Linked DNA regions of Lonchura striata. The protein of the gene in region 1 binds, or shares a complex with, the protein of each later gene. Links are inferred from orthologs where the notes say so. Each region holds a gene or a part of one and is shown in the gene's direction. Other genes may lie near its edges.

What was found.
Region 2: the proteins of KPNA4 (region 1) and RANBP3 are in contact, whole or in part, in a crystal structure (PDB 5XZX), measured with the Homo sapiens proteins. The link is inferred for Lonchura striata from reciprocal best matches to the Homo sapiens genes KPNA4 and RANBP3. Residues at the interface, in NP_002259.1 of Homo sapiens: Arg96, Leu99, Ser100, Asp102, Arg103, Pro105, Phe133, Trp137, Thr140, Asn141, Ala143, Ser144, Gly145, Thr146, Ser147, Thr150, Glu175, Gln176, Trp179, Gly182, Asn183, Gly186, Asp187, Asn219, Trp222, Val225, Asn226, Arg229, Asp261, Trp264; in NP_015561.1 of Homo sapiens: Asn114, Tyr115, Cys116, Pro117, Pro118, Val119, Lys120, Arg121, Glu122, Arg123, Thr124, Ser125, Leu127.

What each region holds. Positions count from the first base shown.
Region 1 is NC_134612.1:25,417,249-25,432,440, forward strand, and holds the start of KPNA4 (importin subunit alpha-3), read left to right. Parts: upstream 1-8,751; 5' UTR 8,752-8,839; coding exon 8,840-8,908; intron 8,909-15,192. UniProt on the Homo sapiens protein: Functions in nuclear protein import as an adapter protein for nuclear receptor KPNB1. Binds specifically and directly to substrates containing either a simple or bipartite NLS motif.
Region 2 is NC_134630.1:1,317,939-1,333,114, reverse strand, and holds the start of RANBP3 (ran-binding protein 3), read left to right. Parts: upstream 1-9,449; 5' UTR 9,450-9,543; coding exon 9,544-9,565; intron 9,566-15,176. UniProt on the Homo sapiens protein: Acts as a cofactor for XPO1/CRM1-mediated nuclear export, perhaps as export complex scaffolding protein. Bound to XPO1/CRM1, stabilizes the XPO1/CRM1-cargo interaction. In the absence of Ran-bound GTP prevents binding of XPO1/CRM1 to the nuclear pore complex.

The sequences.
Region 1 (15,192 bases):
CATCACTGTGCATCAAGCACTTTGCACCAATGTGTTGGTTGTTTTCCCTTCAGGACCAATGGAGTTGGTCCTCACGAAGAAGTCTGTATAAAAGAGCGGGGTATTTGGAATAAATCAGAGTTTTATTCTCAGCAGCCTTCTGATCCAGGTCTTCTCATTGGTGTTACCAGGAGGGGAGGAGAGGGGACAGCAGCTGCTGAATTTCGGCAACAGATCCTGGCTCGTCCCCTCACCCTTTGGCTCCCCGTGTGCCAGGAGGAAAGGAGAGAGGACGGTCTGCTGGTCAGGGTGTCACATACAGACTGCACACCTCTTCACTAATAAAGGCATAAACCCTGTTCACCTCAGTCCCCAGGAGTTTGTGGCACTTGGGCTGCCACGCCACCCCTCAGCCCTGTCACCTTGGGGTCCCCTCCCTGTCTGTCCCCAGCAGAGCTTTGTCCCTGTCCTGTCCTTCCCAGGAGTGCCAAGGGCAGTGCAGCTCCCGTCTCTCCTGATCAGATTTCCCCAGGGTTTTTGGCTTTGCTCCCAGCCGCTCCTCGGAGTGACCTACAGACATTTATTTACAGACATTTACATTTACAGACGTTTACAGACATTTACAGCCCCGTTTCACTGTTTTCTGCCACGTCCTTCCTCAAAGCTCTCCTCTCCCACCATGCATGCAAACCTCCTGACAATGCTTTATGAGCCGCGGCTTTTGATGAATATTTTTATTATTTCCTTGTTCTCCTCATATTTATTCAACTGCCTCACAAGGTGCTTCCATTGGTGCAAAGATCATCGTTTTGTTCTGGGTTTTTACTTTTGTTTTAACCTCTTGTTGACTTGTTTTTACTTTGTTTTATCCTTTCTATTTGCCTGGCCAATGAGAAGTTTCCAGGCCTTGTATTACCCTGATTCTGGCAAAATACCTGCAAAAATAAGTAATTTTGTGAGTTTGATAAACCACCTGGCTCTGAAACCTGAGCCATGCATATTGTTTGGTTTCAGCAATTATAGCTGGGAACAGCAGCAAGGATTTTATCGATCCAGACAAAGGCCAATCTCCTCTGAAATTCTGCTTGGCTGTTAAAGGGTAACTGTGCCTTAATCAATAGTTTTCAGGTATTTTATCTAAAGCACACACGTTTATCACTGAGGAATGTGAGTCCCTCAGCTTTCCCTGAGGAACTCAGAGAAGTTTTATTTCTTACAGGGCCATCCCAGATGGCTGTGGAAATCCCTCTGCCATTTGGATGTAACACAAAACATAAAAGCGTTCTGCAAACAGCTTCATTAATAATGATAAATTCATGTCTGGCTCCTCACAAGGTGGCTCAGGGCTGGATGCCTTTCCCAGCAATAGGGAATAATTTCGGATTGAATTCACGTGGATTTTCCTTTATTGAGAATTAACAATAAAGGGAATAATTTTGGATTGAATTCTCGTGGATTTTCCTTTATTGAGAATTAACAATAAGGGGAATAATTTCGGATTGAATTCACGTGGAATTTCCTTTGTTGAAGATTAATTAATAAAGGTTTAATGTACCTAAAATGTCTGTAGGTGGTCACGCAGTTCTTAGGTGCCCATCAGTATTGAAACAGCTTGAATTCTCTGAAAAGGTGAAAAAAAAAAGAATTACAGAAGAAGAATTTAAGGAGTTAATCTGGAGGGATGGTGGGGGAAGATAAACGACTGCAATACCAGGAAAAAGGGGAAGCGAAAGGAAAAGTGAGAAAATTCTTAGGCCAGAGTACTGAATGTTGTGAATACACAAAGCAATAGAAAGCAAAAAATAAAATAAAATAAAATAAAATAAAATAAAATAAAATAAAATAAAAATTCCTTCCCAGCCATTAATTTTGCACTCTGATGCAAAAGCTGCGGCTGCTCCTCTTTCAAAATCAACATTTCATGTGTGCAATCCCTCCTGGAGCTCACAGGGGGAACTTCCCTGTGCTCTCCCTGAACGGTCAAAGCTGAAGGCAGCAGTTTCACAGATAAAATAATATCAGGCCATAAAGATTATGTAACTTTGCAACTTTGGAGAAAATATTCTGCACAGAACTGTCTTCTCATAGCAACTCTAAACAGTCTTAATCCTGAGTGTGAATAGTTAAAAATAATTAACATATTGAAGTCAAACCTTGTGGAAATGAATTATAGTTTCAAATAACTCTTCAATTTAACCTACACATTAAAATTTAAAATTTCTTAGCTGTCACCTACACTGAGCCCTTTCTTTTTGACGCTTAAGGTTTTCCACTGAGTCATTTGGATCATTGATTATTTAAAATACCATTTATTGCCCACGCTAACGGGTGAATTTTTACAGGCTGGGCTTCCTCGTGTGCTGCTGAAAAGCCCCCGTCAAGCACTGAGGAAAAACCGAGAAAAACACCAGAAAATTGAGTAATATTATTAAAAAATATTTGTATAAAATGTGTTTCCTCGCTGAGACATCTTGTGGTGTGTGAGGCTTCCTGCAGCTCGTCAAAACGAAACTATCGGGTTGCAAATTCAAACGGAGCGCGAGAACTCTCTGAGACTTAAACCAAGCAGCCAAAAATCGCTTTTTTTAAACAAAACCTGCCTCAGTGCAGCCCCGATGGGCTTATTTTCAGAGATGCTTTTCAGTTTGGTAAATACAAATATATTAAATATATTAAATACATATATATATAATATAAATATATAAAAATATAAAAATATATAAATATATATATGTGTGTATATATGTATATACAAATATATAATTTCTGCTCTGTAGGTAAAGCCCACATTTTTTTCATCAGGCATTAAGATGAAGTTTCACTTTGTGGCACTGAAAATTCCTAACAATGAGTGATGTCCAAACTGCCCAAACAAGCACGTTCCTAAATGGGAATTCCCATTTTTTCCAAAGTCGGTGGTGATTTGGAAGAGCCCTGGTTACCAGTTCATAACCGAAGTGAGATTTGAATATAAAGAGGAATAATGAGCATTAAAAGAAAGGGTTGAACTGGGTGATCTGACAGAGGCACAGATCCCTGAAGCTGCTGAAATGCTCCGTAATTCAGGAAAAATGATGTGCCCATTATTCCCCCTCCAAAGAAAAGCTGAACAGAAATATTACCATTTATCAGCCAGCAGAAAATCAAGGAAATCTCAGTCCTGAGCCTTGGAGAATGGGCCTCGTTAGTGCTGCTGCTCAGAGCTCTCATTTTCTCCATTACAGCAGAACAAAGAGAGATGCAAACTTGGATTATTTTCATTTCTCTGCTCAATACCAAGCCCGAGTCTTTCAAAATTCCTTATTCAGCCCATGATTCGAGTTTCCTTTCAAACCGAGCCTGAGACACAGCACTGACAGCAGCAATCTGCATCTGGACATTTACATTTTTGTTGTGTCTTGGGTTTGCTCCCTAGAAGTGTTAAAAGCCAGAAATAAGAGTTTAAACCTCAGCTGCTCCCCAAAAAGTCTCCGTTTTCATGATCCTGTCAGTGTTTCTGTGTCCAGCATGAACCACATCACCTAACACGTCACACTGAATTATCTGAGCATTTGTGCAGATTGATTTTTCAAATCCAGTGATCAGCCTTCCTTTTGGAAACCTGAGGAATTAAAGATGGAAAAGCAGCTTCCCTTCCTGCAGTCAAGTGGAACAGGATCCAGAATACTGGAGCTCCCAGACCTGCCAGCAGATCAGAAGTTTTCCTTTCCTTTTAGAAATATGCTTGAACTCACCCCAAACCAGCAGAGATAGAAGCATTTTTTTTTGTCACTGTCCCACCATCAGCAGTGCTACAAGGATTTGTTTTAACATGGAAAAAACACATCCCGGGATCTTCCAGGGCACACTGACATGACTCATTTCACTAACCACTTCTTCACTTTTTTTTTCATCCTCAAACGATTTTTTTCCTTTCCTTTAATAGGAAAATTATACTGTTTTTTTTTTTTTTTTTAAGGAAAATTTCCTTTAGTAGGGAAATTGTGCTGGAAAGGCAAAGCAGCTGGACACCAGCAGGGAAGTGCAGCTCCACAATCTGCTGATTGAGGATTGACTCCTCTTCTTCTTGAACTATTTGCAGCTGATGGATTTTTGGGATCTACTCCAGCTCTGGTACCAAGGAATATTTTTGCCAATGGTCACATCGTGACCTACAAATTTGTCTGCAAAAGCTCTGTTTTAGCACATTAAAAGCTGAAGGTTTAAGGGCTGAATTGTAGCAAGGGCAATGATGCAAATTAAAGGCAATCCCCCCGTGGAATGTTTTTAACTTTAACTCGTGGGGAAATGCTCATTGGGGGTGTTTGACGTTCAGAGGCCTCGTGGGATGAGATCCCCGAGGCAGCTCTGAGGGACACAGCAGAGCCCAGGGCTGGTGGGAATGAGGGAGAGATCCCAAAAAATCAGTGCCACAGCCAGCCCTTGGCTGCCCTAAGGTGTGAGAGGGGCCGGAGCAGCTCCAGGATCCCAGTGGCCCACCCAGAGAAAGGGTTAGAAATGGAAAAGCAGCGAACCCTGGCACACTGGCAACACCTAAAGCTGATTTTCCTTCTCAAGCCTGTGCAGTCCATCATGGTAAGAAGCTGGTTTTAAAAAGTGAGTTTATAAGTGCCACCCTGACTGAAGAATCTTTTCTTGAATTGCAAATACTTCTTTTTGTCTAAATAGAAAGAAAAGCAGAACACAGTGTAACCAGCGGTTCTAAATGAACAAACCCAAGGGAAACAAGCACAGGAACTCTGCAGCTTTTGAATGAAAATGTTCCTCCACAAGGGAGCAAACACTGCTGCACTTTGCTGCTTTTATTATATATAGAGATTAGTAAAAATATGTAAAAATATGTAAAATATATTACATTTTTAAACTTATATTAGTATTTACTAATATTCATTAGTTAAAAATATGTTAAAAATATAAAATTTATTTACTAACACCCCGTTTCTTTTCTGTGTAACTCCATATAATAATATCCAAAACAAGCTTTGCTCTTGCTAAGTTATGAAGGAAGACAGCAGAGCTGTCCAGGTGTCTGTGGGTCAAATCTTTGATTATTCCTCTCATCCAAAGCACGTCAGCCAACTCCCATCAAAAACCTCCTTCCAACCTGTCTCTTGCAAAAGTCAGCACAGCAGCTGAAAGATTATTATAAAATATCCTCCCAGCAGCGGGCTGCTTCTTTGTTAATAGCAGCTATTCCATTTGGCTAAACCCCAGGATTAATGGGTGTTTTTCTGTGTGCAACACAAATCTTTGCAGCTTTACATGACATTTTGTTTCTTACAGGAGGGAGATAGGGCTATGAAAAGCCATTTGCAGGAGCTCCTTTCACCTAAGTGTACAGTTAATAAATAAATTTTATCTATTTTATATATGTTTTTACTAATATATTAGGAACAGCATTCAGATCAATTCACATTATTCCTCAAAAGAGGTGTTTAAGATAAGCTGAGAATTAAACATTTTCTAATTGCATAATGAGGTTCAAAATTCACAAACTGTGAATTGTAAAGAAAATGTGAACCCTTTGTAAAACAAATCTATCTGTTGCTTGAAGGATAGGAAGGTGAGCAGATCCTAATTCCCACCTTGATATTTGCATTATTATTTTCCAAGCTAAAAAATATGCAAAAAATATTAAAGAAGCAGAGCTTTGTTCTGTAGCATCACATGAAGTTCTGAACAGCACCATACCATGAGAATTTGTGTTTTATGCATAATTTATTATGTTGTAGGCAGCTACAGTAAAAAAAAAACTGTAAAAAAAAAACCTGATTTAGTAAAAAAAACTGATTTAGAATCAAAATATCCAATTGTTTGGGGTTTTTTTAAAAGACAGCCCAGTGACACTGGATCAAGGGTTTGAAATTGGTCTTCTGAGTGTTTTTGTACTGTGATCCTGAGGTAAAATCAAACAGAAATTATTCCTCTGAAAGCCAAGCAGTTTAATTAGATTACAGTTACACAAAATGCACTTGATTAATCTCTGATGTCTACAATGAAATCACAATATAAATTATTCCTTGGATGATATCAGATCAAAAGACCACCAGAGGATTGTCTTCCTTCATAACTTAGCAAGAGCAAAGTTTGTTTTGGCTATCATTATATGGAGTTACACAGAAAGGAAATGGGGTGTTAGTAAATAAATTTTATATTTTTACATATTTTAACTAATAAATATTAGTAAATACTAATATAAGTTTAAAAATGTAATATATTTTACATATTTTTACTAATCTATATATATAATAAAAGCAGCAAAGTACAGCAAGATGATTTTTGGGCTGGATTTGGAGGAAGATTCTCCAGGACTAGAATTTAATAGGAAAATTGTATGCTTTTTTAAAGGAAAATTTAAGCCAGGATGTGCTGCCTTTCCCATTCCATCCTTCCCACACCAGGGGTGGGATGGGCACGTCTGGGGTAACAAAAACATGGAAAAGGTGGTGATGGAAAGGGCACCGATGGAATAAAAGGGTTTTGTTCATAAAATTCCAGGCTGTGTCTTACACAGGGGGGATTTTTTTACCATCATATTCGGACAAGTTCTGAGCACTGGGCAGGAATGGAACACATAGTTCACACCAGAGTCCAGTTTCATTATTCATCATAGAATTTCTGCCTAATATCTAATCTAAACCTATGCCCTCTCAGTTCAAAGCCATTCCCTGTGTCCTGTCCCCCATCCCTTCTCCAAAGTCCTTCTCCAGCTCTCCTGGATCCTCTTTAAGCTCTGGAAGGGGCTCTAAATTCTCCCTAGAGCCTTCTCGTCTCTGGGCTGAACAATCCGAGCTCTCTCTTCTTTCTGTAAATGAAACAGAGCACTAAATAAAGATACTATTTTTTAAAATTTTATCTCTATGTATTCTTTTACAACATTACCACGTGGCAAATCCGCATTACATTTTAAAAAGTAAATAGCTGTATCAAGAAAATGTCATTTTTGTCCATCCAGACTGGGATGTGAAAGGGTTGCTGTCCTACACCACTCTTGGAGAAAATGTTTTATATCCTCTGAGACAAGCCATGCCTCCATGGAATAGCACCAGCATTAATTAGCCCCGACTAATTTACCCTCCTCATATTGCTGTGACATCGCTGCCACATTTGTGCAACAGACGGGGCTGCGGTGACTCAGCCTCTGTGACTTTTGGGGTTTTTTTGGAGAAATATCTAGATCCAAGCCTCGTCCTCTGGGAAATGTCCAGGGATAAAACACACATAGTCTGAAAAACCATTGTTTTCCTCAGGAGCTAAATCAAATTATCTTTCCTGATACTCCTCAGTCTCCGAGGGACTCGGTGACTTCATTTTCACACTTGGGAAAAACATCCCCTGTCATAACTTTGATTTTTCTCAACAAGTGTCATGGAAAATTATAATGAGCTCTGTCAACATGGAAGACTTTACAGGGCTCATTTTCAATCATTAAAAATAAGTAGAGACTATATGCAGGGTCAGGGCAGTACATATATATATATATACATACATATATTATATATATATATATATATATATATACACACACACATACTCCACAGAATTCTTCTAGTTATGGTACACAGGCATTATTTTCCAGGTAGAATTTCAGAAGTAGGAACAAAATTACCATCCCCTCTGCTCCGCAAGTGTTTCTCTCTATTGTTTTTAATACTGTTTCTCTTTTTTCTTTTTTTTTTTTTTTTTTTTTTTTTTGCTAAAATTCTGGAAGACTGGGAGGAAGGGGGATTACTCTAGGCAAACGAAAGTGTAAAGAGAGTGAAGATTGAGGTGTAATTTTTGTCTTCATGATGCAAATAAATGCAAAGTGTAATGAGGGGAAGGATTAAACTTGATTTTTTGACTCCATGATGGGGGCAGACACAAATTTTAGCGAGGGGAAGGATTAAACTCGATTTTTGACTCCATGATGGGGGCAAATGCAAACTTTAGCGAGGGGAAGGATTAAACTTGATTTCTTGACTCCATGATGGGGGCAGACGCAAATTTTAGCGAGGGGAAGGATTAAACTCGAATTTTGACTCCATGATGGGGGCAGACGCAAATTTTAGCGAGGGGAAGGATTAAACTCGATTTTTGATTCCATGATGGGGGCAGACGCAAATTTTAGTGAGGGGAAGGATTAAACTCGATTTTTGACTCCATGATGGGGGCAAATGCAAACTTTAGCGAGGGGAAGGATTAAACTATTAACTTTGGGCTCTGTGAGGGGAGTGAATGTAAAGTGTGGCGAGGAGAGCGCCAATTCTCGGCTCCATGAGGGGAGTGAACGCCAAGCCTAGCGAGCGGAATGTTTAAACAGCCGGCTCCACGAGGGGAGCGAAATGCAAGCGCCGTTGGGAAAAGGATTAAAAGATAAATTTTGGTCCGCTCCCGGCAGCAGCGCAGGCGCGGGGCGCGCCCGTCCCGCCCCAGCCCTGCCCTCAGCCCTCAGCGCCCAAGATGGCGGCGGCGCTGAGGCGGCTCCTCCTTCCTCCCCCTGCCCGCGCTGCGTCACCGCTCCCGCCCTCTCCCCGCCCGCCGCCATTGGCCGCGGGGCGCGCGCGGCGCAGCCAATGGGCGGCGGCGCCCAGAGCGAGGCTCCCCCTTCTCCCCCCCCGCTCGCCCCGTCCCTTCCCCCGCTCGGCGGCACCGGCGCGATCGGGCCGCCGGCACCGGCCCCGGCCCGGCCCGCTCCAACCGCCCGGCCCCGGGCCGCGCTCCCGCCCCGCGCCGGCCCCGCCGCCGGCCCCGCCACCCCGCCCCGCCACCCGGCCCTTCCCGGCTCGCTGAGGCCGACTGCGGGCCCGCCGGGCCCCCGGCGCGCTACGGGCCCGGGCGGAGGCGGAGGGGCCGCGCTCCTCCCTGGCCGCCCCCCGCCATGGCCGACAGCGAGAAGCTGGACAACCAGCGCCTCAAGAACTTCAAGAACAAAGGCCGCGACCTGGAGGTGAGCGCGGCGGGGCCCTGAGCCGCGGGGAGGCGGCAGCGGCGAGGGAGGGAGGGAGGGAGGGAGGGAGGAAGGAGCCGCCGAGGCCGCGCTGAGGGCCGGGCGCGGCCGGGCCCGCGGGCTCCCGGCGAGGGGCAGCGGCCGCGCCCGCCCGGGCCGGCTCCGGGCCCGCTCCGGCCCCGCTCCCGGCCCCGCTCCCGGCCCCGCTCCCGGCCGGCTCCGGGCCGGCTCCGAGCCCGCTCCGGGCCCGCTCCGAGCCCGCTCCGAGCCGGCTCCGGCCCCGCTCCCGGCCCCGCTCCCGGCCCCGCTCCCGGCCCCGCTCCCGGCCCCGCTCCCGGCCCCGCTCCGGCCCCGCTCCGAGCCGGCTCCGGCCCCGCTCCGGCCCCGCTCCGGCCCCGCTCCGAGCTGGCTCCGGCCCCGCTCCCGGCTCCGGCCCCGCTCCGGCCCCGCGGCTCCTCCCGGGCGGCTGCGCCCGCCGGGGCTCGGGGCCCGGCCCGGCCCTGCCCCAGCGGCCCCGCTCCGGGGTGGGCTCGGCGGAATCGCTGCTGGAACAATTCTTCTCCCAGCAGCTCCTAAAAGCCTGAGTCAGTATTAGGGCCCTACTCTGCTGCGTGTTTCCAGGATACCTAATTAAATAAATAACGCCGTAACTTTCATAGCAAGATTATTTTTTTAAAAAAACTCTTATTTTTTAAATTCTCTTTTTTTTTTTTTTTGTATTTCTCTTTTCTGCTCAAGCCGTTCTGCCTTGTAGCCCCTGAACGCTGAACTTTTTGGTGGTTCAATTATTCGAGCTCTGTAGGTGCTTCCTAAACACAGCAGGATAAGTAATTAACTTGGGGTTTCCTTAGGAAATAAGCAAATTTTAAAGCTAGGTATCAATCCTCGCCTTTAAACACTCGGCCAGGAGTGCTGGTTGGAGGTTAAAATTGTCTGTTCAGGGTTGTGGACAAGAATCTTGGCATTCCTCGTGGCTGTCTTTTGCTAGTTTCAAAGTGTCCCTTGTGTTTTCCATAATATTCTACTCTTATATATGAAGACATTACAATGTTTCAAAAGTGAAAACTCCTTTATATTCCCTGTATTGATTTAAACGTCAGTTTCCCAGGAGTCTGTAACACCTGGATTTTTAACCTGCCCACTTAGATTGATAGAACATTTTATTACTCAGTTATGCCCAAACTTTTGGCAAAAATATTGTGAGTGGGGATAATTAATTGCTCTGCTTGCTAACAGTGTTGTGAGGTTGGTTGGCAACCCCTCGCCTTAGATACTAATTTATTTTTATATCAATTTTGTTACCACTGAATAGGCAGCTACAGGAAGGCATCTTTAGGAATGCACACAGAATGTTCCATTACAGTGAAAAATGGGATTCATGAGTAGACACAGGCTGGAATTCAGGTGCCTTGGTGCAGAATTTCAACGGGAAAGGGCTGAAGTAGGGAAGGTTCAAGATGGACACGCAGGTAACACCACGTGGGAGTGTGTCAGAAGGCAGGCAAGCTCTTCAATCTTTTTTTTTTTTTTTTTTTTTTAATTTGCTGCAGCACTGAAACGCCTTTTTCCACAGCCCAAACCCACTGCTGGGTCGTGTTAAATTTTAGAGAGTGACATTTATCCAGCAAATCCTGGAGCACATGCCTGCTCCCTAAAATAACCACGGTGCAGGGCTATTTTTCATACAATAGCTCAGGCTTCTGGCTGTCCCTGCTGCTCATCAACTGCTTACACATCACACTGGGCATCAGGCTGAGGGAATTGCTGCTGCCCACTCCCACCCAACCTCCAAAATCCGGCTTGCAGGGCTGTTTGGGCAGAAATTTGTGTATTTATTTGGCAGAGGAAACCAACATTTGATCTTTATCTCCTTCACTCCTCCCCCTTTTTTATCTGCGCTGAAATTGGCCCTGGGTTGTTTTTACAAAACTATCGGGGTTTTTTTTAATTTTCCATTACAGTTTACCCCTAGAGAAATGAGAAATCGCCCGAATTTTGGTGAATGCCAACTGGAGAGGTTATGAAAGGTTGCCATGTTGTGAATTGCAAACTTCCTAAAAATGTTATCTCTTAATTCCATGTGCTCAGATCAGTCCATTGACAGTTACAGTTCCTGTCACACTGCCCTTGCCTTCCAGGTTTTACATATTCACTGGAAGTTCTTCTATTTCTGACCAAAACCAGGGAATTTCCTACATTTTATCCCTTAAAGTACCAAACATTTTTCACCTTTTTGGCTACTCCAGTTATTTGTTTTCTTTTCCCCAATATGCTCCTAAAAATACAAATTCTGGCCTGGAAAAAAGAGGAAAAAAAAAAAAAAAAAGCAAAGCCCAGCAGAAGCACCTGTTTTACATAAGGTGTTTGACAAAATTCCTTCAATGCTGAAGTCTTGGGTAAACATTTCCTGCACGGGCATGTTGTAAATAATTGCTGCCATGTGTTTGGGGATGACAGATTGGTGGTGACACTGGGAATTCAGGGATTCACTGGGACCAGAAATCCCCAAGAATTCCTTGTCCTCTCCCTGGTTTCTGCTCCTGCTCAAAGGAATACACGTAATAAAGTTTTTAATAGTGGGGGAGCAGTAATTTGGAGCTGAGGCAGCATCTCTGGGGGGAATTTAAGATTTCTGGTCAGTGCTTGCAACATTTTTTTAGGGTCCTCAAGATTTTAGAGCTGTGGGGGATAAATAAAATTGGTTCAGCACAAAGAGGAACCTTAAAAACTGCAGAAGTGTGGCCACAGTTTTAACCTCCAACCCCAGAGTCTGAATTGAAGAAGGGCTTATCTGGACTCATATTAAATTATGCAAATACTGATCCATTAAGGAGCAGGGTAAAGTGACTTTTTTCATCTTGTCTTCAGTGAGGAACAGGTTTTACTTGGGTTTTTTTTCCTTGGATGAGAAGGGTTGAGCTGGTTTTTACTGGTTGTTGTGGGGATAGCTGTGCTGACACCCAGCCAACCTTTGTTTTTAATGGTAATACCACAGATCTTGGAGTTAAATTCCAGATCTTTACTATACAAAGGCCAGATAAGTGCAAATTTATCACTGTGGCTGTGCTGGAGTTTTATGGACAAATTGAATTTAAGTAATGCCTTTTTACTCCTGCATTTAGGGGTCTTGATTTGGGAAGTTTTGCAGAGTTTTGGGATGTTTTATTTGCTTCATTTTCTTTCACCTGGTGATTCAACATTTCATTTTCTCTTGGTGATTGTTGCCTGCTGCAGCATTGCAATCTGACATTTAAGAGGGTTTTTTTTTTTTAATTAAATAAAAAATATTTTCTGCATTTTATTTCTCTGGAAATCCTGGATGAATCTGCTGAATCTTTTCTCCCCTGCCTCACCTGTGTTGCTGGGCAGGAGATTAAGGATTGCTTGAACAGTGCCAGCACAGGAGAGGTGTTAAATTGAGATTTCTGCTCCTCAACTGAGAGATGCATGAAGGGAAACGATGAGAATTCCGTGATGCAGAGCACTTCAAAACTAATTTTGGAGCAGCCATTGCATCAAGATGCTTGAAGATCAGTCATGTCAGGATTTTAAGAGTTGCCAGCATCATTCAGTGGACTTCCAAAATACCAATGTATTTGGGAGCACCAGGGAAGCTCCAGGGGAGTGCAGGAAAGGTGGTGGTGTGGGATATATTGAATATTGCAGGTACTTTGAAGCTTTTCAGCCCTTTCTGTATCCCACACAAAATAGTCTGCTTGGGATTAAATATGGAAGAACTGAAGGAGAGCAGGAATTTCACTCAGTGAGATAAAAATAGGTTCCTTTAAGCTGACTTGGAGTTCTGTGGTGAAGCTCATCCATCTTGTCACTTTCCAATGATACTGAGATATTTGTTTAAGGCATTTTCTCTGCCATGCACAGCTTCTCCAGGAAAAATGGGCCTGGTGGCACATGTAATGTCATATTGATTTTTATTTTTTATCAGACTGCCATTTTCATTCTGAAGTTGCTGAGATGTGACTTCTGGGGGTGTCTTGGGTTGGCTTTATGATCCCAAAGCGTTTTTATCAGTGATATTGAGAGCAGATTTCATTGCTCCACTTTGGAATTGAGATGGGATTTTTATAGGAGGGGGATAATGGATGGAGGAGGGCCTGAATCACTGGATATAGCTGAGGAAAAATAGTCTGGTTTCAGCTGTCTGTTCCCTGTGGGGTGTGTTTTGTTTTTATTTGGAATCCCAGACCACACTGGTGCTGGTAGCAACTTCCTGGGAAGGAAGGAAGGATGGCACAACCAACTCATTTTTTATTTACAATAACTGTTGACTTTGCAGTTCCCCAACAGAAACAATGAGCCTTTGGAGACCATTCCCTGGGAGAACGAGAGCAGCAGCCAGAGTTCTACAGTTCCTCCTGTGCTGTCAGACCTCCCTGCTGGAGGTGCAGAAATGGAGTGGAACGTTTTAGAACAGCAAAAAATCCCCACCCCACCCAGGAGTGAGCACAGGCTGAGTTCCTGATCCCTTCAGGGAAGGGATCCCCCTGCCAGGAGTGTTTAGGAAGGGCTGGTGCATCCCAGAATGTCCCAGGATCCTGCAGGCATCACTACCACGAGATTTTAATGATAAGCTGAGGGACTCAGTTATGACTAATGGTCAGAAATAACCCTTATGATAAATCTGAAGCTAAATATAATTGAAAAAAGGAGGATGGAGGGATGACCATCGTAGGCCGACAGAAATAGACCGGCTCCTTTGATTTTTGATGTACAAATGACAAACAGGATCCAGAGACTGGGAGAGCCACGTGAATTCCTGACAGAGTGGTGTGTGTTCTTCAAGTGGAGCCCTTCCCGGGCCTTCTGAGCTCTGCTGTAAAGCCCTTTCTGGTGAGAGTGGTTTCCTGTGGTGGTGTGAGCTGGAGCTGACTCACAGAGCTCAGATCTCCCCCGAGCAGAAGCAATAACTCCCCACGTGCCATGACCACCATCCCTCATCTCTGCCCTTGGAGCTGTTCTCCAAAAGCTGCACGAGTCCACCTTGGCTCTGTTTGGCATTTTACTTTCTCCAAACTGTTCCATCTCTGGCTGGGCTGGTGGCACTGGGAAAGGCCATGGCCGAGCTGGCTGCAGTTCTCATTTGTGCTGCTTTTCCTCCTCCTCAGAGGATGAGCAGTGCCAGGTTGACCTGTAACTATTCTGTCAACAGACTGTGTTTACACAGTGATTTTAGTGGAGCCAGGGTTTGGTAAATCGTTCTTCAGAGTATCTTCACTGCTGGATTGTCTTTCATGTGAAGGCTTTTGTGATTCCAAGGTGTGCAGGCAGGAATTCAGGAATTCCTGACAGCTTATGCCAGGAGGGAGAACATTCTTCTTGTCCTGGCAGAGGATCCTTTAAAGTCTGATCACCTGCAGATAGGATTTTTTAAGTAAAGGATTTTCTAAATGACCCATCTGAGGCTTTTTGGTTGTAATATTTGTTTTGGTCCCACTCAACTGTCTCTGTCAGCAGCGGCTTTGCTGTGAGCAGCAGTGTCTCCCCGGGGTCTGGGAAGAGCCACCCCTGTCCCAGAGCAGCTTTTGGGTGGGAATGCTGATTTTGTTGCCTGAGCTTTGGGAAGGTGTTAAAAGCCCTGTGAGATCATCGGGGGCGTGGTACAGTTCTGCAATCTGATTATCAGAGGCTTTCCTCACATTATTTTCATTTTGGATATGGCAGATCAGTGGAGTTTGGAGAAACTCCAGTGAACATTTGAGAGCAGGAGCCTGGAGCACCTAAGACAAGTGGAAAGCTGCAGCATCTTTGCAAAGCCTGGAAGTGCTGGGTGGGATCCAGCTGGGGATCAGCTTCTGGAGCTCAGGGAAACATCCCTGGAGTTATTCCTGCCTTGCCTCTGCTCTTCTGAGCTGCATCCACTGTCCTGGGGGCTGGGCATTGCTGGGGAATCCCAGGCTGGGGGTATTACCAGCAAAAAATATAATATAAAATCAGCATTCCCACCCAAAAACTGCTCTGGGACAGGGGTGGCTCTTCCCAGACCCCAGGGGAGGCACTGCTGCTCACAGCAAAGCTGCTGCTGCTGACACAGAGACAATTGAGTGGGACAAAACAAATTACAACAACAACAAAAAAAAATGCCTGAGCTCCTCTCCTCTGGCTCTCCCAGGTTGCTGAGCTGCTCCTGGCACTTTGCATTTCCCAGGGCAGGAAGCTGTCCCTGGGGGAGGTTGGATTTTCCCCTCAGCCCCTGCAAAGTTCTGCTCCCAAAGCAGCAGGGAACCATCCCTGCTTTGCCACTTCTTCCTGTCCTTAACCTTTTG
Region 2 (15,176 bases), on another chromosome or scaffold:
GTTACCCTTTGTCTCCTTAAAAAGGAAAAAAAGCCCAGAAGTTTCTCTCCTGAATTTGGTTAAAAAACACTTCATAGGACCTTGGGGACTTCACCTCAAACTTAAGGACAGCTAATTGGACAGAAACCAAAAAGTCCCACCTAAGCAATTCACTATAAAAAAATAAACAAAAGAAGTAATCACTTTTGTGGAGTATTTTAGCAGGAGCAAGAACCTCTTGCCCTAGCTTGGGTTTTCTCTGTAAAGAGCTGTTTTATTTTGCCCTTTATTAAAACTTTTTGTTTCCAACACTGTCACAGAAGCCATCCTGCTTCTTTTAGGCCACCCGAGGTAGCTGAGCTATCAAGGGTATAATGCTTATTTCTGAGAGCTTATTAGACCTGGCATAAAGAGAAAAAGTGTTAGATGAGGTCATAACAGCCCATGATAACACCTCCATGCCAACAATGGTTTTTGTATGCTATTCCCCTTTCACAGGTTGAATCTCCTACCAAGTGACCAATACATAGTTTCATTTCTGAAGGTTAAAGTCTTACTAACTAACAATAAGGTCTTCTTCTACATTATTTTGTCAACATACATAACAGCAGACCAAATATGGCAGGCCTTAGACACATCTTCAGTCCCTGGCACAGAAAGGACTGGAGCAGATCTTCATGGAAGTAATATTAAGGCCCCATACAAGACAAGGAGTTGACTTGAGACAGCCAGCACAGCTTCACCAAGGGCAAATCATGACTGACCACTTTTGTGGCCTTCTATGATGGAGCTACTGCAACAATTGATGTGGGAAGATGACCAGTTTTATCCACTTAGACTTCTGTAAAGCCTGTGACATGGTCCCACATGGCATCCTTATCTCCAAAGTGGGAAGACATGGATTTGAAGAGTGGACTCTTTGGTGGTGTTGTGGTTTAAGAATGGTATTCTCCAGTTTAGTACTCCTGCTAACACTATGCACTGCTTCCACTCCACCCCCCTACAACTGGAGGCTCAAAAGACAAAAGATCATAGGTTGACATAAGAACAATTTACTGGAAAATTTTCTTATCTCACTGATAAGAATGTGAGATAAGAAAATTAACATGAACATCAACAATATTAATAACAAAAGGTACAAGAAAAATAAATTATTTACATGGCAAGTCCCCCCCAAAAAAACCCATACCAGACCATTCTGTCTACCATGTTTTCTTGGCTGGAAGGAACCCCTTCTCACTGGACAAGCCAAAGAGGGTGTCCCTTTTGTGTCAAGTAACATCTGGACCTTAGCCACACCTTCTTTTGGCTACTGCAAAAAATTAACCCTGTGCTATCTGAAACCAGGATAGGATCTGGAGTACACAGCCAGAGATATGTAGTGTGTTGAGAAGTAAAGTAAGTTTACTTTTAGAATATTGGAAATTGATTGTGTAGGTTTAAGTTTAATTTTAACTTGCTTACAGTTCAGCATGAGTGGGCCCTGCTCAAAGCTTGGCTTTGAGGTGAGCTGTAAATAAACTCAGTGAACATAAACGGCTGAGCAGGGGAGGAGACAGAGATCTGGAGATCTTCAAATAAGAGCTGAGACCCTGGAGGGCCCTAAGGTTACCCCAAGCTGGAAGAGAAGAGCAGTTAATGGCCTGCCCATGTGGACATGAAGAAAGAATCCAGTGAGGTATTAGAAGACCCCAGATCATAATTTGCCATTGGACTAAGAGGCATGTACAGAGCATGTGAAGAGCATGTGAAGGTCAGGTGCACAGACTGTGAGCAGATAAAAGCCCAGGAGTTGCACTGTTCAGTGTCCCACTTCGGAGGCACCAGCTCAAGCTGAAATAAACTGTCTGCCTCATAGCCTTTCTCAGAAGAGAAGGCCCTGGGGTGACCTCAACTTTCAGTGCTTGAAGGGAGCTTGTAAGAAGAGAGAGTGACTTTTTACACAGGCAGATAGTGATAGGACAAGGGGGAATGGTTTTAAACTAAAAGAGGAGAGATTTAGATAATGCTGAGTCATTAGGAGGAAATTCTTCCATGTGAGAGTGATGAGGCCCTGGCACAGGTTGCCTAGAGAATCTGTGGCTTCCCCCTCTCTGGAAGCGTTCAAGTCCAGGTGGGACAGGGCTTGGAGAAACCTGATCTAATGGAAACTCTCTCTGTCTGTGGCATGGGATGGAACAAGATGGGCTTTAAAGGTCCAAACTAACTCTAACCTGTCTGTGATTCTATGACTATACACCTCTAGATTTAGGGTCTTTCTTTTGTGGTCTTGTGCAGAGCCTTCTTTAAATGTCGATAGGCCAAAATCCTGAGGTTGGGTGCTACAACACAAGGTACTAAAGCAGGTACCCAGTCAGAGATGCTAAACAGAGAGGTGACAACCCAGTTAATTGTATAAGCATAGCTAAAACCACGGACATATAATTTTTCAGCAAGAAATGGTGAAAAATCAAGTGCTTGTTTCCCCATCTAGTGGTTATATTCAGAAGGAAGAATGTTCCAGTAAATATTAAGCTGCCAGTCTCTGGAGGCTGGGGCCATGTGCATGCACTAAGATCAGACACTACAAATGTGGTCTCACGTGTTTTTGCACCTTGATCCTATTTAGATAGACCAAGACTTGCAGTTATAACTGTCCATCTCCTCTTCTCCTTCTACCTGCACAGCCCTTTTAGAGAATCTTTTAAGAGTGCAAGAAATCAAATATATCACAAAATTATAGAAAGGTATAGGTAGAGTAAGATACTTTGTACTTTAAGTTCCTGCTTGAAACAAAGCTGTCTGCAAAGTTAGATCAGGTTATTCAGTCAAACTTGATCCAGTTAAATTTGAAACACTCCAAGGATGAAAATTCATCACCTCAGTGAATATACCACCTCAGTCCATATACTAGTACTGTTCCACCAGCTTAGGAAATCACTTGAATAAAACAAAGTCCTACCAAAAAAAGATGTTCCTAAGTCCTGCCAGGGAATGGGAGTGCAGGTTCCCTTTTTCTTGCACACTGTGATGTCTGCAGAGGAAGATGCTGTTTGCATTTTAGCTCTAAGGTTGTGCCAACAGGCTTGAATTGCCAGGGTCTCCCAGTAATGCAGGGTGGGAAGTAAGATTTCTCAGCTTTTTAGTTCAGGCCCTCAATAGCACTAATTAGTGACAGCCTTGCTCATGCTTTCAGGCTCTAGAGTTCTGGGCCAGTGTGTCTGGAAAGTCACAACTCAGGAACAGCACTGACATTGCAAGTTAATTAGAGAAGTGAACGCTGGACTATGAATTCTTCTAAGGCACTTCTTTGTATTTGTGAGTGGACTTAGTTGCCCTTGCACAGATGCGCTTTACTAGAAGTGAGCCACATCTTGTAAAAACCCAGCTTGCTTCCTCTGAGAAAAAAACATCAGGAAGGTAGCTTTAATGACCCTCTTGTAGTGTTTTTAGCCCTTTGCTCCTAGGTCTTGTGTTTTGACAAATTCCTTCAGTCTCTCATGCCGAACAATCCTTTGCTCTCAGGGCCCCTCATAAGCTTCCTTCTTGTTATCCCAGGTCACCATCTAGTGGGTGCTGGAGATCCCACCACAGCCAGGGAGGAGGGCTACGCCATGGCCTAAGGACATCAGGCTGCTTTTTTGAGCAGCCTCTAAGCGATGCCTGGATGAGCAGAGCTGTGTGCTAGCGGGACATCGCTGGAATGTTGAAGTTTCACTCAACGGGGCTCTTGGTTACATACAAAGGGTTTAAAAGAAAAAGCCTTCCCCTTTCCTTACAACTGGAGAAAGACTGATGGCTCTCTTCCCTCAGGGAAAATTTACAATTCAGTCCTCACAAAGGAGGAAACAAATGCTTCATGAGAAATCCCCTGCTGAGTTAAAACCTCTGAAAACATTAATTGTGGTAACCAACATCACTGTCATGTTGTTAAAGACCCTCATATGTGGGGTGTGTGGCCAGTCCCACCCCGATTAATTTTGCGTTAGGGTTACATGCAACTATTAGTTTCCAGGGATGAACCACTGGCTTCACATTGCATGTTGCCTGAAAGCAGGTTAACAGATGTATTTTCTTTATTGTTGGAATTTCCAGCAAACAAGTGCTTGAAGATACTTGGCTTTGCCACTGCTAAGTCACCCAGTAGCATTAATATAGCAGTTTCTGGCTCACGGTCATGATGTCACAGGAGGTGTGACCTGCCACAAGAGAGAGCAGAACCTTAACAAAATATTCTGAAGTGGATCTGTAATACCCACAGAAATGGTCTAGCATCTGGGAAATCATGTGACATTGGTTAGTTGAGTGTGACATAAATCCATGCTGCTGTTGAAAAAGGAAGCCCTATTCCTCTTAAGGTTGCTTGTCCTTGACAGCTGTAAAGAATGAGTTATCTGAGAATTAACTACATCAGTTCAGAAACAAGTTAAAAAATAGGTTTCAAGTGAATCAACTCAAGCAGAACCTAAGTTATACAGAGTCCTGGATATATTTTCCCAATTAATAAGAATAACTGTTCTGCTGAAAATCATAGAGATGTGGGTAGAATGGACCTTTGGAGGCCTCAGGTACAACTTTCTGCTTGATCCAGGTCTGCTACCAGAAGCAGACAAGATGGTATATTAACTGACCTACATGGTATGAGCATCTAGAAACTGCCTTCTTGTCCAGGACACTGATAGAGTGATACAGCTAGAAATGAGACAGTGATTACCTGTGGTGCTGTCTTCACTCTAGAGCATCTGTTTCTTCTTTTGCTGATGAATGCTTATGACAATGGATCAAAATGCCACTGTCATGCTATGGAACAACTGTGAATGCTTCAGGGTCTGAGTCCATCCAAATTATGCTCTCAGAAGTAGAAAGTCTTTAAACAGGGTGGGTTGATTTGGGCTGGGGTTTTCTTTGTGAAGTAGCTTTTTGCCTTTGTGTTTTTGTTTGTTTGTTTGTTTTTCTTTTGTTTGGTTGGTTTTTGTGGTTTTTTGTTTGTTGTTGGCTTTTTTGGTAGTTTTTTTTTTTTTTTTTGAGAGCTCAGCTATGGAATAATATTTAATTTCTCAAAGTCATAGTGACTTTTAGGCCATGTCCCCTTAGAAATACTGACCTAACAATAGTACTAATCAGAAAGTATGGCATTTATAGTATCTTAATGGCATGCACCCAAAATAGATTCTAGTTATATCAGCAAGTTGACAAGCTCATAGGGTACAGATAACTCTTGTAATTAATTTCTAAAAGTCACAAGAACTGTGAAATTGGTGTGGATGGAGTTTACTTTTTACTGAAGTAATAAATTGCTAGAATCACATTTATCCTGGTATTACTACAGATCTACTTGAAGGTAAATTAAATCATAATCAGAAACCTCCCAACACTGTTAGGATAAAACTGTTAATTTTCCTCTCTTACGTTAATGATTCTGAGAAATATGGGCTCTAATTAGAACATGAATAGAGAACACACTGTGAGCTGCTGGTTCTTCAGTGTATGCAACTTTCTGAGGTACATTATTTCTAAAACACTCCCCTTAAATAGGTCACATCACTCACTATGCTGGTATCACACATTCATTAGAGAAGCATAGGACAGTAATTCCTATAATTAAAGTTGTCATTATAAAAGCATTTTCATTATAAAAGCATGTTCACAGTTTCTTATTGGTTTAATAGGTTTTAATGTTCTAAAATGAAATTTTCTGTAATGGATATCTGTATCAGAATAAGTACTTAAATAATTGTTGTTTTTTAGACACATAATAAGTAATTACTCTGACTCTCACTTTTCAAGACTAGTGTTTGGCTCAGTTTGTAGGACATGTCTGCTTTGGGAAAGGAACGAAATTCCATAAAGACTGGAGCTAGGTCAGCCATGCTGTATATCCCTGAAAATTACAGTTCTTGTGTGAATAGAGACATGCCAATTCTTTTGGCTAAATTCTCTGCAAATTGTCTGCACCAAATGTTCTCCAGGGAAAAGGCACAGACAGGGTCTAGAACCACACACAGACTCAGGCTGCCATGTGGACATCATGCAGCTGTCAGCACTAATGTCCAGCCCTGTAAGCTCCCAATGGACACGCACAAAATAAAAAAAATCTTGCAAAGCTATTCAAAGTCTCAGGTCATGATCAGATGATATGCTAAAATCAGCTTTAATTCATCTGGGATCAAATTAAAAATGTTGCAGTCCCAGATATCTGTGGATTCCATGGCTGGAGCTCTACCCTCAGGGAAAACAGGGATTACTTGTTCAGGACCATGTAGCTTATTGACTAGTGGTAAGTTTATTTAAGCCAGGTAAGCATGATAGGACCCATCTCAGGTGAAAAGCAAGATTCTTAATGATATTTTCTGCCTTGGTAGCTGGAGAGTGAGAGGTTAAACAGAGCCTCCTACTGCTTAAAGTACTGCCTGGAATGCAGACCTGGTAGTAACTGATCTCCAGGAACTTTTAAAGCTGATGGAATGTGTCTGTTCAGTAACATCAGCCAGCTTTCAGCCCCCTCCCACACAGCCCACTGGATCCCATGGACTTGGGTGGTGTCTTGGTATGAAAAGACAGGTGTCTGCTAAGGAAGTCAGGAGCCTCCCCTGAAATGGAAAATGTAAACCCCCTACCTCCAAATTGTTATAATTTTCAAATTAAGGGTGCTCTCAGGCAAAGATATGGGAGCAGGAATAACAGTTCTTTATTAGGGAAAGAAAATAAAAATAAAATAATGCAGTTATACAAAGCAACACTGGCAGAGTGAAAATACAACCAGACACTTTGTGGGTCAGGGTGTTGGCAGCAGTTCAGTTGAAATGGTGGCTGCAGTCCTCCTGGAGTGACAGATGTGGTTCTGTTGAAGCAGTGATCCTGTAGAAGGCTGTAGTCTTCCTCTGAAGATACAGTGGTGGTGTAGATGGGCCTGGCCTTTCTCTGAGAATCCAGTCAAAAAGGCTGCCCTGATGTCCCAGATTATATATTATCAGAGATTATATCCAGGTAGGAATGCTTGGCTCCTCCCCCTGGGCAGAGGATCTCCCAGTGGGATAATATCATTTTTATCAGTCATGCAGTGACACTCAATAACCCATTAACAGCAGATGTCTCCCAGGAGATTGGTTTGTGGAAGAAATATAGGAAACTGTCCAACTAACAGAAGATAACTGCCACACATCTAACAGATGGGAATAGAATACACACATTATCTTGCAATCTAGTACAGGTGGGCTGAGAATTCTCCAGAGATTTTTGACTTGATCTTGTCTCTGAATCCTGTCTCAAAGCTCAGAGACCTGAGCTTGGTGAAACTAACTTGGTGGAAAGTAAGACCAGGAAAGCTTTTGAAGTCCCTTGGCAGTGTCAACTCTAGTTGACCTTTGGACTTCCTAATACCATCTCTACATGCTAAAGAAGTATTCCTATATTCCACTTCAGTAGTCTGTCCTTGCTTCCATCCCATGTATAGTTTTTTTGTGTTAATTGACAGGTTCTATATTTACCAAATTAGTCTCCCAACACTTATGCCTCTGATTGCTGGGACAAACTGTTCTTTGGCTTGGAGGAAGTCCTTATCACACTGCCAGCTCTTTTGAACTCCTTTGTTCTTCAGAGCTAACTCTCACAGAATCTCCACTTGAATAACCCAAAGTCATTCTCTTGAAGGGGCTGCAGTCTGCCATTTATCTTTGTCATGCCTCTCAGAACGGTGAATACCACAATTTCATGACTGTTACAACCAACATGACCAGGGATTAACATGTCCCCAAACATTCCTCTCTTGGTCATGAGTACCAGGTACAGCTGGGTGTCCAGTTGAACTAGATGGCTATCTAGCAAGTGTGGTAAGAATTTTTCCCTAACATGGTTTAGAAAACACCTGGATTTCCTGTGCCCACTGTCTTGCAAATTCAACTGATAATGCAGCTTGCACAGCAAGCAATCATAAAATTCCAAAGAGTATTGTCTGATCTATGGAAGTATTCCGTCATATGCTGAAGATGGACATTTACTTACAGATAGGTATTTTGTATTTAAAAATAGGTATCCTGTGTGGTGTATTCAATGTGCTGGAGGGAAAGGATACCATGCAAAAGAACATGGAGTGTTGCCAACTGCAACTCCTGCAAGTTTGTTAGGGCAATCCCAAGAACAAACACAGGCTGAGGGGAGAAAGGATTGAGAAAAGGCATGGGAAAAAGGACTTGTAGGGGCAGGTGGATAAGAAGCTCAACATGCCCCAGCCAAAGGCACTGGCACACAAAAAAACCCTCTGCCAGGCTCATTGTCCAGCATGGGCAGCAGGGGAGGGGGCTTCTGCCCTCTGCGCCACTCAGATGAGACCCCACCTGAAGAGCTGCTTCCAGCCCTAGGGAATGATATCAGAGGGATGTGGAGCTGCTGGAGCCAATCCAGAAGAGACCACAGAGATGCTCTGAGGGCTGGAGCCCCTCTGCTCTGGAGCCACGCTGGGAGAGCTGGGGATGCTCACCTGGAAAAGAGAAAGCTCTGAAGAGACCTTATGGCCTGTTCCAGTACCTAAAGGGGCTCCAGGAGAGCTGGAGAGACTTTGGACAGGAGTCTAGAATGACAGGACAAGGGGGAATGGCTTCCCACTGCAAGAGCACAGGGTTAGGTGGGATCTTGCCAAGAAATTCCTGGCTAGTAGACTGGTGAAAGCCAGGGTTGACCCATCCCTGGGTGTTCAAGGCCAGGCTGGATATGGCATTGAGCTACCTAGTCTAGAGAAAGGTGTCCCTTTCTATGGAAATGGGGGGAATGAGGTGGGCTTTAAGGTTCTTTGGAACCCAAACCATTTAGTGATGATTCTGTTTTTTTTTTTTTTTTTTTTTTTTTTTTTTTTTTTTTTTTGTTGTTGGTTTTTTTTTTTTTTTTTTTAATTAATACAATTTATTTACTCCTAACACGTTTTGTCAGTTTTGCGGTTATATTCCTGATGATGATTATCCTAGCAGGCAAACCAGATGGTTTCAATGGATGGGACTTACAAAAGGAATCAAGAGCCTGGCCCTTGGATTCTACCTTCAGCTAGTGTGATAGCTTATGAGGGATGTAGTCAAATGAAGGGCATCGTGCATGCTGCTGTTAAATGAACCTTGAAACAATCCATAGAGGTAAGACGAGAACCATTAATTGCTCAGTTTATACCCCATGTGCCAGCTGCTCTTGAGCGCAGGACGAGGCACCAGGAGCAGCTCATGGTCTGCCCGCCTGGGCTCCGCAGCCACGGGAGGACGGCAAGGCCGCGCACGGGACGGAGACCCGCAGGCAGCTAGCCCCGTTCCGACCGCCGCGATACACACGGTGCGCGGGCCGCAGGGAGCGATCGGGCCAACGCAGACCTCATAACGAGTCGGCCCACGGGGACGCTGCCCAGAAAGCCCTCACGGAGCTGCAGCACCCATGGGAAACCCATCGGGCACCGCGCGGAGCCCGCGAGTCAACCAGGGGCGGCCCTCCGCGCACGCGCGGCGCCGTCCCGGAGCGGCCGTAAATCGGGGCGTGCGCGGCGCGCGGGGCCTGCGGTGAGCGGTGTCGTTCTGCTGCGCGGTGCATTGTGGGTGCGGCTGAGGAAGTAAAATGGCGGACCTGGCGAACGAAGGTAGGTGGGAGTTGCGGGCGTCGTTACTCTGGCCCACAGTGGCCTTGCGCTGCTGTGGGCCTAGGCTGGTCCGGCCCGGCGATCCGCGTTCAGGGGCCGGTCCGGGAGCGCCGCTTCCCCTCAGCCGTCCCGGTCCCAGTGGGGAAGGCGGCCGGACAAAAGGAGCCCTGTGGCCGGGTCACCGCGCTGTCCGCGAGGCGCGGGCGGACGAAGCCAGGCTGGGGCCTACGTCCTTAGGTGCTTCCCGCGGGTCGGTGGTTCTGGGCTCACTCTGCGGCTGCTCCCGGGGCAGGTGGCCCGGGGCCCGTGCTCCCTGGACGTGGGCCCGGCGCTGGGCACGGGCCCTGGAGCACGGTAGCGAGCGCTGCGTCTTGGCCCCGGCTCTGAACCGCTTTGTGCCCCGCCATGTCCAGTTGCTTTTTGAAGTTACCGTCCACAGTTTTCGTACCACTGTAGATCTTTCCTTTGCTTACACTCTTGTTAATCCTTTAGTTAAAGGATTAATAGAAAGCCTGTGTAAAGCAGGGTGTCATAGTAGATGCATTGTGGGTTTTTAAAGCTGAAAATATCAGAGGTGGTCTAGTAAAGTGGCTTCATTTTTTTCTGAAGACCATTAGAAGAACCTGGTCTACAATACTGCAGTTTTGGGTATTCTTCCCCAAGGTGTGTACAGTGGTGTTTCAAGTGGCAGTGGGTATCCATATTTTGCCTTTGGGAATGACAAATGTCTCTCAGGGTTTTGGCAAAAGCCAGTTTGCTGTGTTGTCTCTCATCATTCTCAGGTAAAGGAAGAGGGAAAGAGATACCCAGAGTCAGGTGAATGAAAAATGTGTGTGTGGCTCCTTCTTTCAGGACAGTTTCTTTCTTTTGAACTCTGTGTCAGTGGCAATTACTGTTCTGATATTAACGTTAAACAATAGGAAGCAAATAAATGTTGGTGCAGCCTTTGAAGATGAAGCCTACAATAAGTTAACAATACAATTACGCTTAAGTTAACAAATCCTATGATGCAGCATGTCTTGGGCTGTTGGCTTCCAGACTCAGGGTGAGTTGTCAGTGCCTGAGGAGGCATGATAAGTGATCTCAAGAATAGTAGTAGCCAAATATGTAATGACTATTTGCAAGAAACTTAACATAAGTACTTATTTTATATACTGCTATTATAATACTTTTTAATGGGTTCTTTTGTTCTCTTAGAATCAGAAGCTTGGCAATACCTATCTTAAGTCATGCAAGCCCCTCACTTTACTCCCCTTTGTGCTGGGGAGCATTAAGCTCAACAGTTTACCAATACTTATTACATCTTTTGGTGATGACTTGTTGTGTGCTTCTATCTCTACTTCTTTTTTCCTGCAGGGTCTTGTAGACTGCCTGGGATGGCAAGGGGGAGTGTGATCCCATCCTTAAAATCCTTTCCTGCCTCCAGAGACTTACTTCACCTGTAAAAACCTCTTTAGTTTATACTCGCCTTTCTTCCACAGTTGTCACCTTCATCTGTTGCTGTTCTGTTTCTTCTTGCAATAAGAATGTGATAAAATCTTTCCTCAGATGAAGCAAGATCGTCTTGCTTTGAAACTGTTGTCCCCTCCTTCTAATATCATTGACTGTTGCTAGTTTTGTTCCTTTCAGTGCCATTTTTGAGATGTATATTCTTTGTATAACAGTGGAAATATGTGCACTTCCTGGATTTCGCATCTTTCTCCAGAAACTTGAAAAATTCTATAGTCTTTCTACGTGGCTTATTTGCAGACTCTGTCATGGCAAGGATCTTCTCAGGTGACTGTTTTCTCCTCGTTCTTAAGCACATCAGTGAGTTTATTTTTCCGTTGTTTAGGTGAATGCTTTACTTCCTTGTGCCCAGGTATTTTAATCTAAATATGTGACGTAACTATTTTGGTACTGTTAATTCTTTTACCTTCTGCTTCATATTGGTCTTCTGTTGTTTGTACCATTTGATAGCTCAATGTTCATGTTCACAAAAAAGTGTGATTTCAGCGAAGTTCTTAACTTTCCTGAATCTCAGTTAATCTGTACAACAGTGCTGTCTCAATTATACTTTGTTCTGAGGTGTGAAGCTAATTATTCTTTGACACACAGGCCATATAAGTACCTAGAATGAGGTTTCAGTCATTCTTGCAGACTGTTTTTGTTTGGTGTGTTTAAACAATAGCTTTTATTGTCTGTTCATGCAGGTGAAGCTCAAGATTTTTACCTGTTTGATTACTGCAACAAACCTTTTCCTGGCCTTGAGAAGTGCCGAGATTTGTGTGTCTTGTGTCCTCTCATCTTACTAATATAAAGGTCTTTTAACCTGTTACTTTTACCATGACACCCGTCTTTAAATTCATTGATTGGTGTTTCTGTTTCCAACAGTATATTAGTTATGTTTACCTTCTAGGTTTTGATGCTCTTAAACTGTTGGATGTCTTAAATCACTGCTGAGCTGTCAGTACTGCCTCCAAGTAACCATTCTGCCAATGTCTTTTACAATTTTGAGCTTTTTAAATGGATGATCTTTTTGTGATGCATTTTGTCAAAACTGCAAGCATTCTCTCTAATAATTACTTCATTTTTTTTTATTCTTGTTGTTCCTCAAGTCTTTTTCATCCACTTGTCTTTGTTTCTAATAAATAGGTGAAACTGCTCCCCTACCTCTTTATATTGGAATAATGACCAACTGTATCTTGACAAGAGAAGGCTGTTGGTTTAAGAGGGCCCTCTACTACATAGAAGGGGGCTAAAAGATGACATAGTTGCAGTGCCACTTACCAAAGAAGTTTGTACTGTGAAGTTTCCTGGGAACACATCCTGGTCTTGGCATTGCCTGTCATGGTGGCAGATTAGTTGATAAGTGTGGAGCTAATGAAGAGGAGGAGGGAGTAGTTTCTCCCTAGCTGTGTGAAGTTTGATCGACTTTGCTGCAAAGATGTAATGACATTGTGATAAAGGTTTTGGGGACTGTCGTTATGAGGGTGATTATTGAAAAACAGGGATTTAGACTGGTAAGAATAATTGTTATTGGTATTAATGTATAAAGTAGTTACTGAAAGTTCTTAGAAACTTTCTTTGAAGTCTTTGGTACTTGACTGCCACATGCGTGAAGTGTCAGTGTTAAGACAATCCAGCTAGAATACCAAAGAGAACTAGGACCTTACTGTTGGTCCTATATATTTATGGGAACCAGAATGCTTTTCTCATTAACTTGCAGCTAAAACACAACTAGTAGTTTGCTTGTCTGTAACTTACTGCTGAAGCTGCATTTTTAAGACAACAAGCTCCCCTTGTGTGGGGAATGAATTAATCTTTTCAATGGCTGAAAAGCAGTACAAATTTTTCTCAGGGCTAAAATTTGATGGATGTGTACACATTTTCCTTTCACGAGGTGTCTGTGACTTACTTGGCTTTATGAAATTGCTGAGCATACAGCACAATCATAACAGATTTACTATATGTACCTGCCTTGAATTAATTAGAGGCTAAAGAGCAGTGGTGCAGCAAGAGACCTGGGGGTTCTGGTTGATGGCAAGTTGGATCTGAGTCAGCAGTGCCCTGGAGCCAGGATGGCCAACCATGTCCTTAGAGGCATCAGGCCAGCTGGGTGAGGGAGGGGATTTGTCTCTCTGCTCTGCACTGAGGCAGCTTCATCTTGAGTTTTAGGGGCAGTTTTGGGCACCACAGTATAAAAAAACATTAAGCTAATAGAGAAGTGTCCAAAGAAGGGCCACAAGGATGGGGAAGGGTCTAGAGGGGAAGTTGTATGAGGAGCTGCTGAGGGCACTTGGTTTGTTCAGCCTGGAGAAGAGGAGAGTAAGTCTTGCAGTCTTCAACCTCCTAATGAGAGGCAGGTACCAGTCTGTACACTCTCATGACTAATGAGAGAACTTGAGGAAACAGCATGGATCTGAGTTGGGAGGTTTAGCCTGGATACGAGGAAAAGGTTTTCCACCCAGAGGGAGGTTGAGCACACAAGGCTTCTCAGGGCAGTGGACTGAGAAGCACCAAGCCTGAGTTCAATAAGTGTTTGAACAATGCTCTGTCACATGGTGGCCTTTTTGGGATGCCCTGTTTTCCTGGTGTAGGGCAAATTTGGGAGAAAACCTCTGAAGGGGTGTTCCTCTAGAAAGCAGATTCAAGCTGTCCTCCCCCAACTGGTTCATTAAAAAGTTCCCTTGAAGAAAAGTGGGAAAAACCCCTGCTGGCAAAGCATTTGCCAGCACAAAAATTGAACAATATTAAACAATAAAACCTTGCCACTCTGAAGAAATTATAAACTCAGAAAGTCTCCTTTGTGTGGTGTAGCTCAGCTCACTCAGTCTCTCATCAGACCCTCCAGTGCTGGAAATGCCACGGCCCAGCCCAATGGGCCACAGATGCAAGCTGCCAGTGCTCTTTTGGGTGTTCAGTCAAGAGCAGGTTTGAACAGTTCCAAGAAAAAGAAAATCCACAGTCCAGGGAACTTGTCTGGCTCAGTGAGCTAAAAACTAACTAAAAGCAAGGGAAAGCTCTGTCCCGCTATCTGTCTGTACTGCAGACAGCACAGTCCAGGAGAAGGATGCGGGGGAGCAAGTGCAATTTCTGATAATAAACTCCAGGGTTCTGCTCTCTCCCTCTTTGCTCTTGGAACTGGTCTTAATGGTGCAGAACTTATTTCTAGGCTAAACAGACTAATGGGGATACAAGCATCATAAAGTCATTTCAGGACACTTCACCCCTTATCCCCATATAGTCAGCTTACTACCAAAATTAGTATATATTCTAACTCAGCACTTGTGTGTATTTATATACACATACACAGTATACAGCTATATACAGACAATGGCAATGACATTCATCAGACAGTGATACTTACACGTAGTTCTCACCCCACAATCAGATCTCCCTGAGGTACACATCATGTTGTTTCATCTTTCTGCATTATCCACTGTGTACAACCTGGTCCCTAAGCAAAGACAACCCCACAAATGGGTTTGTCTGTACTCAAGGCAGCATTGATCCAAACTGTCTTCCCTGACAAACCTCTGACATGCACCGCTGGGACTTTGGCTCTGTCTACTGTATGCAGGGTGATTCAGTTTACCTATATGGGTATGCTGTGTGATGAGAGCAATTCACTTGCTCCATGTGGCATGGTGGGTAGAGGGAACCTTTGCTATGAGCATCCACCCCAGCACCGGTAGTCAGGGTGCCAGGGAGAGTTGTGCTTTGAGTCTCCCCAGGCACCTCCTGCCAAAGGCTCCAGGACAGACCATGGTTCCCAGCTGCAGAGTAGAGCATGTTCTTCACATCAGGTCCTGTCCTGTTCTGACTGGGCCAAGGGCTACTGCATGAGCCATTTCCTGCTTGATCTGGGCAAAGTCTTGTTGCTGCTTAGGACCCCAGTGGAAACTGTTCTTGTGGTTGACTAGGTAGAGAGGGTCACAATCTTACTGTACTCAAGAATATGCATTCTCCAAAAGCTTATGGCACCTAAGAAAGCTTGTGTTTCCTTCTTGCTGGTTAGTGGAGACATCATGGTGGTCTTGTTGATGACCTCAGTGGGAATCTGATACTGTCAATCTTGTCATTTTACCTCCAGGAATTGAATCTCTTGAGCAGACCCCTTGACTTTGCT